Drosophila melanogaster: one gene and its partner. The gene in region 1 interacts genetically with each later gene. Each region holds a gene or a part of one and is shown on either strand. Other genes may lie near its edges. The genes, in order: Jarid2 and htt.

Region 1 (3,926 bases):
AAAAATCAAATGCAAAGAGGCAGAAGAATACAACCAAAACATAGCAATTGTAAATTATATATACCAAATATATTCTATACGAACAAAGGCAAAACCAAATCCACTCCACTCGTGTTTTCTTTACGTTACCGAAACTGTTTATTTTTGCGTTCTATTTAAATTTTTTACTATATGTATAAGGTATATTTAGATTAACACGCAGATGTGCGTACGATTAACTGGCAGAGAGCAGGATGTTTAATATAAAAACTAAAGTACAGTACAAAGGCAGTTTCATCTAACTACTAAAGAGCAATATAAACTGGCTCTCCTCGTTTCAATATCTGATAATTTCCATTCTTTTTTCTTTTATTTCAAATATCGCAGCAATTTTAAATTGTCCAACGGGAAATTTTAAATATATACTGTAAATGCTTAGTCGGTATCCTTTTTGCGCTGCGCCTGCTCGCGTTCTAGCGCCCTCTGCTTGGCCTTCTCGTAGATGGGCATTAGTTGTCCGTTCTCGCCCAGAATTTTTAAGAGCTCCACGATGAAGGGCAAATAGTTGTGCTTGCGCCGCACATTCTCCACTTTGTAGCGCTTCTTTTTCTGAATCTCGTACTCTATGTACGTGCGCAAGCTACTGATCTCCGCCTGTCGATCCTCCTCAGTGTCCATAGCATTGGGCGCCGGATTAAGCAGCTTCTCAATCTGCTGTTCATAAATGCGCTGCCTGTCCGAGATCAGAGCCATCAGATTGAAGTGGATCTCGCCGTCGCTGTAGCGCTGCATGCGCTTCTCAATAATCGGACGCACCACATCGATCCAGTTCTGCTCCGACTTGATCTCACCAAGATCAATGGGTCCCTCCCTCAGGCCGTCCAGCTCGTACAGTCTTCCTCCGATGGGCATATAGCCGACAAAGTGGTACACGTCATCGTCCTTCTTCTGGTTCTTAGTGTCCAGCTCGAAGAGTGTTGGGCGAGCAAAGGAGTTGTGCACCGTGCGAATCTGGCTAGCGTTGCTCAAAGTTAATCCCTTGTTGTACGGATCGAAGCACTGGCAGAACTCCTTAAAATTGGTGAGGGTCTCGCCCAATTTGATGTCCTCATGATCCAGGTTCATCAGGAGGCTCAAGATCGCCTGGGTGGCGCATGCGTTGTTGATCACCTGCTTGGCAAAGAAGATGTTCTCCCGATCCAGGACCACTTTTCCAGCGGGTTCATCCTCCTGCACCCACTTGAACAGGAAGATCAGACCATGGATGGGCTCTAGGTTCTTGAAGGACTCGCTGTCGAGACTCCAGATCTCCTCCACCTGTGCCCCATCGCATCCTGGTCGAACGTACACAGTATTATTAACTTTTCTTATCCCAATTGCCGGCGTCGCTGGCAAAGCCCGCCAATAACTTACCGAATTCGCGAATAAGCTCTGTGAATACCCCGGGATCGGATTCAATGAGACACCAATTTCCAGCACCGTCGCCCATGTTAATAGTAGTCACTTGAATATCTTTCTACTATAGATTTCGCTACAAAAATGGTGCTTTTACTGCACAAAATTTTCTGTCAACTCACAGAGTGAACCAACCTTGCCAGATGTGACGGAAATCAAATGAGTGGCCTACTGCTTGTGCCGCCCTGGAAAAATAGTATGGCAACCCGACCATCCGCCATGACACAAAGCAAAAGCGGTGTAAGAAGAAGCAGAAGACGAAAAAAATATGTGCAAGCAAATCTCGCGAAAGAAAATGAAATTTGCAGCACTTGTCGTGTGTGAAATGTGAACACAGAGTGCACTAAACAATAACAAGACAATAAACAGCATTTTAGTGTTTATTTCGAGGGATAAAACCACCGCTGAGTCGCCGTTAAGATGAAGCGAAAATACGAAAATTGCGTGCTGCAGCAGAGGCAGCAACAAAAACGCTATTCGTTGTAGATATATACGTACATATATATATTTATATATACGTACATATGTGCACATATATATATGCAAATCTATACATAATAAAGAAGTGTCCGGCGGAGAATTGTATGTGCGATAATAAATAATACGAATAATAATAATTAATTCAACGGACGAAGGCGCGCGAGCGAAAGAAAAGAGGCGAGAGAAAAAGAGGCGCGAAAAGTTCGCAACAAAATGGTTGTCTCCAAAGACAACAACAAGCGTCGCCGCAAGGAGACAGAGACGCCCCCACCGCCTCCGCCCGTACCGCCCGCTGGCTCCTCGCTGGCACCTCCGTCGGCAGTGGCGGCCATCGAGTCCTCGCCCGAAATGCCCAAGAGGTGAGTCCGCCAGTCCACATATGCTCAACGATATGGGTAATGTTTAGAGGGCTTATCCATTATTACATACGTGTGTGGCACTATATGGAGATGACGTCGCAGCGTTTGTTAGCTGCTTGATTGGAATGGAAACGGATAGGGGTTGGGAGTGGGGCACTGCAGGGGGGGGGGGTCACAAGGGGGAGTAACTACGGAGGGCAGCTCTCGGTTTGTTGTATAAGCCAGCGTCAACAGCGTGTCGTGGCGTTGTTGTTTTCCTCGACGAAGGGGTGTTTCGCATCCGTCGTGCGCGGGGGGGGGGTCTGCTGGGGGAGCGCTCCTTCCCAGCAGGTGGATATATATATATACAGTGGTTAGTCACTAAGCTGAATATTCGGCTTTGATAATTAGGCAATATTTACCTACTCAGATTGATTTACTACGTCGTGGGTACTTCACCGAATACATAGCAAATGAATATAAAAATGATTTCTTGCATACATTTTTAATAATTGATAAGTGAAATTTATTTTACTAATTTTTAACATTACAATTGTTATTTTAGATTGTCAATTAAATCAATTGATTTACATGCAATCTATTTTCTATATTCCATACATAGTTTCAATGTTGTTTACAAATACAAAGTAATGACCTCATTGTTGTTCCTATATTCTTTCATTTATTTATATGCTAAAAATAAATTGATAGCCAAAGAATAATACACACAGAAATCCTAAAATAAAGTTGGATGGTAAATTTAGTTTTATTAACCGAATTAAACTTTTTATCGAATGTCCACTGTTTGTGATGTTGCCTTTATTATGATCCCAAATGAATATTGAATTTTCTAATTTATATCATATTGCCTTGTTACCACCAATTAAATATCTCTCACACTGCTCTTTGGCTCCTTCCATTTGCAGAACGAAGGTGCAGGCACAGCGCAAGTTTGCCCAGGGACAGAGTGCGCCCAGCAGCTCCTCCAGCATCGCATACAGCGCAGCAGCAGCGGCAGCTGGATCCGGATCGGGGCCCAGCACCTCCGGAGCGGATAGCAATCAGCCGCCTATCGAGATCCTGCCCAACAAGTGTCCAAAGCCACAGGACTTTCTTACCTTTCTATGCTTTCGTGGCACTCGCGCGTTGCCCGCCCACTTGGATTTCCTTAACCAGGGCAAGTCCAAGGATTCGGAAGCCTCGTCGACGGGAGCCAACAATAATAACAATGCTAGAAAGCCCAACAACAGTCGAGCGAGCTTGGCTGGCAACAAAAAGAAGCGCGGACGACCGGCCAAAGGCGCGACCAAGAAGGTGGATGTGGTAGCCCCTATACCCGATCCTACTGAGAAACCCTCAACAGCTGAAAAACCAGCTAGTGATAAAAACAATCTCATTGCAGCTGAAGCGCCTAAGATTCCCTCGCGAAATCCTACTCCTGTACTGCCAGGAGCAGTGCGAAAACGAGCAGAAGTTGTCACCGATGGTAATCGACGTGGAGCAAGAGGCAGAGGAGCAGGCATTTCCCACGATAAGACTACACCCGCAGCATTATCCAAGGACAACAAGCGCCGCTCTAATCGTGCCAGCACGAAGGAAAGTAAACCCGTCATTGATGATGACAATTCAGAGGATCTCGACGAACAAGAGGCAGATGACGATGAAGATGAGTTC
Region 2 (3,926 bases), on another chromosome or scaffold:
AGCTTGGGGGGCGGTCTACATCAGCGAGAACTTCACGGACGCCTTTATTGCCCGAGCTAATTTGGGACGTGACTCCGACGACGAAACGATCGACTCCTCCGAGGTCAAGGTCTGGCTGGACATGTCCAACCAGCAGATCGGCGTCATGCTCAATCGGGACATCCAGTTGGCCTTCAGGGACTTCGCCATGGGCCTTCTCGGCCAGTGCGGCAGCAATCCGAAATTGGGCGACGTGCCCATTCAGTTCAGGGACCCCATCTACGGCACCATGAATCCATCGTTCACCGATTTCGTGGCACCTGGCGTGATCTTGACGTAGGTTTCATAGATATACATTTAATGGGAGAGTCATTAATGCTTTTTTCACATATTTTATAGCATTGTATTCTTCTTGGCTGTCGCTTTGACGTCATCGGCTCTGATCATTGAGCGCACTGAGGTAAGTCGAGAAAATCTATCCTCTTTTGGGAATAATTATAATAAAATTTGCTTACTTCCATTCCAGGGCTTGTTGGATCGCTCCTGGGTGGCTGGCGTCTCGCCCTTCGAGATTCTATTCTCGCACGTGATCACCCAGTTCGTGGTGATGTGCGGACAGACCACTCTGGTGTTGATCTTCATGCTGGTGGTGTTCGGGGTTACCAACAACGGCGACCTATTCTGGGTCATCGTGCTGACCCTGTTGCAGGGCATGTGTGGAATGTGCTTTGGCTTCCTCATCTCCTCGGTGTGCGAGCTGGAGAGGAATGCCATACAGCTGGCGCTGGGCTCCTTCTATCCCACCCTGCTGCTGTCTGGAGTGATCTGGCCGATTGAGGGCATGCCCGTGGTGCTGAGGTGAGTTCTTGTGGTATTACTCTGTTGTGAATGGAAATTTAAAAAATCTTATCCCCCAGATACATATCACTGTGCCTGCCACTAACGCTAGCCACCTCTTCGCTGCGCTCCATCCTCACACGTGGCTGGGCGATACTGGAGTCGGATGTGTACATCGGCTATGTGAGCACGCTGTCCTGGATTGTGGGCTTCCTGGTGCTGACGCTTCTCGTGCTGCGAGCCAAACGCGGCTAGGATCTTCAGATATTACGCTACTTTTAGATGCCTAACTTTAGAACACGATAAGTCGTCCTAATTAGTTTACACCCACTTCGGGTCTTCTTCTTAATTCCACTTTCGAGTTTCACTTCCCTTCGTATCTGCCCAAATGTCATAAATTATTTAAGCACATTCGCAGCTTTCCTTAGCTTTCCACTCGGCACTCGTTTTTCCTTAGACTAAGTTCCGCACTTTCGTAGTTTAAAGCGTAAGGTTTAGGTACTCCTAAATGAAATGTTGTAAATATTTTGTGTCACGAATTCAGTAATCCGTTGCTCTAGATGTCCATTATTTGCAACCCTCTGTACTAGACCTTTTCTCGACGCCGACACGGGCAGTTTATCACATACAAACGCAACTAATTTTATATATTTTCAATGGACTGTGATTGTTTTTTCTACATAATTCACGCGAATACACGTAGGGCAAGCCTAAACAAAAAGAAAACACAATGAAAACGAACAAAAACAATGGTGGGTTTTGTTATTAACATTAAGTAGCTTAAAGCATTTTTGTATGGGTTTAAGTTTTTTAAGGTAAAACATAATTAAATACAATAATGTACGCAACCCTAAAGAGTATGTAAAAATATATTTCAGGAAATATTTTGCGCAGAGCATAAATATTTCACAACGAACAAACATAAGACAATGAACAACGAACAAGTGAAAAACGTTCTTATTTAAGTAAATATTAATGTGAACGCAGTTATGTATAAATAATAATAAAGCGTGAATAAATAAATAAAGTTAAATTTAATTGTTGGTTTACTTACATTTTGAAAAAGATGTTCTCATTTTAACATTGGCGCCAATGCACTGTTACTGTTTTCTAGCATGTCCATAACAGTCTTTTAAATGCAGGAAATAACAACTCATTGTGACCAACTGGCTGGAATTTAATAAATATGTTATCACTTCTAATTTTCTCCAAAACTAAAAAGATAATTTAGCAGGTTAGTTCAAAATTTAAATATTTAACGATAGCTAACTTGAATACCAGGGCTGGTCGCTGGTGTTCCGCTTAAAAGCAGTTGTGCGCTCTGGTAACACTGGCGTTACAGCTGATTGAAATCATAACAAAAGAGCAATGTTTTCCTGTGTTGTTTATGCTTAAAAAGCGATTTTAGGCGTTATTAAGGACGCGAAAATGGACAAATCCAGGTCCAGTGCGTACGACAAGTTCGTTGGCTTCGTGGAACAACTGCGAAATACGGAATGCAGGTGGGACTGAACGGAAATTTGATTGTTTTCGGTTGCATTGAATGTTTTGGGGAGGGGACCGGCAACAGTTTGTTGCTCATTACGGAACAATATTGATTAAATTATGAAGCCCAGGTGATTTCCGGTGGTTTTATTGCCCTTAAGATGAACCTGCCAACTTGTTAGGCCACCCAAAACATTCATTCAACATTGAGCAATAAGTGCATCCGCTATGACGTCATGCCACATACCTGTAATAAAACTAATTTATTTCGAACCCCCCACAGCCAAAAGCAGAAGATCACCTGCTTTCAGCAGATTGCCGAGTGCATCATGTCGCCCTCGCTGGCGGGCCACATCAACTATGCCGCCCACTGCGGCACGGCCACGAATGTTCTGCTGCTGTTCTGCGAGGATGTGGATTCCGTGGTTCGGATGAGCGCCGAGGAAAACCTAAATAAAATACTGAGGTCACTCGAGAAAACCCGGGTCAGTCGCATTCTTATGGATCTGTATGGTGAAATTAAGCGTAATGGTAACCAGAGGTAAGGAGGCAAATATATTAAAGCTAAAATAACAATCTTAAAAAAGAAAAACTTTCTGCACAGATCCCTGAGGATTTGCCTAAACCTTTTCTCCTACTATGCTCCACAAATAAAGGAGAAACACATCAAGTGGTATGCCGTGAGATTGCTCCAATGTATGACCACCATTTCCCAGCGCAAGGAGACGTTGCTCCAGGAGACTCTTTGCGACTTCGTCAAGCACTTTAGCCGCCATATACAACAGGGTCTCAGCGATAGCGAATCCTGCAAACTGTTCGAGGTAGAATAATATCCCTAAACGTCTTTTCTTTTTATGTTTAAGCGTTTGTTGACTTTTGCAGACTTTTCTGGACCAAATTAGCTCCGATTGTGCCGTCAAGCGTCGTTGCTCTGCCCAAAACTGCATGAGTCTGATTGAGAATGCACGCAATAGGAGCCTCATGGCCAGACATGGGGTCAACAAAGTGATGGGTAAGACAGCTTAAATAGGAAATGAATTTCTGAGAGAAATACGAAAAATCCATATGAACACTGCATCCTTACTAGCAACTATAGCAAATGAGAAGTTCGTGAGTGCTGTTATTTACTATTAGAAAAGGAATTTAAATTCAGCAGAATGATACACTTGTTTCAAAACTCTAGGGTCAGCTGTTATTGTTATTTCGCAAAGAGTAACACCATTAAATTTAACAATATTGCAGCCTTAATAACAGCCTCTATTGTTTGTACACTTTTGGATAAACGTATTCACTATTCGCTGCTATCGCTGTTAGTTATTTAACGCATTTTCGCTACGACACTTTGTGTTCAACAGGACGCTCTTTATATTCACATCAATAATGAAAGAGATGTTTAAAAAGCGTGTAACGGCCAAATACTAAGCCTCGCATAGATCGTCATATATATACATATATTGTTAGGTTCGTGCTGGCTCTGCAGCTAAAAAATATTTTTAATATTCTAAAAAGCCGCAAATCCATGAAAAATACCTTACCAAAATGTAAAGCCATCGAACTGCGAACTACGCGAGCGCGGGAATAGATGGTTTTTGGTTTTATTCAAACTCGAATTGTGAATGCAATCA

Evidence for each region.
Region 2: of Jarid2 (region 1) and htt, changing one enhances a phenotype caused by changing the other (phenotypic enhancement), as found in Drosophila melanogaster (one study listed by BioGRID).

Annotation. Positions count from the first base shown.
Region 1 is NT_037436.4:9,475,380-9,479,305, forward strand, and holds the start of Jarid2 (Jumonji, AT rich interactive domain 2), read left to right. Parts: upstream 1-1,658; 5' UTR 1,659-2,127; coding exon 2,128-2,273; intron 2,274-3,178; coding exon 3,179-3,926. Other genes in the region: Uch-L5 (ubiquitin carboxy-terminal hydrolase L5), read right to left, coding at 415-1,313, 1,393-1,468.
Region 2 is NT_033777.3:28,694,088-28,698,013, forward strand, and holds the start of htt (huntingtin), read left to right. Parts: upstream 1-2,154; 5' UTR 2,155-2,244; coding exon 2,245-2,318; intron 2,319-2,584; coding exon 2,585-2,842; intron 2,843-2,905; coding exon 2,906-3,122; intron 3,123-3,183; coding exon 3,184-3,313; intron 3,314-3,926. Other genes in the region: snu (snustorr), read left to right, coding at 1-315, 379-439, 506-837, 897-1,071.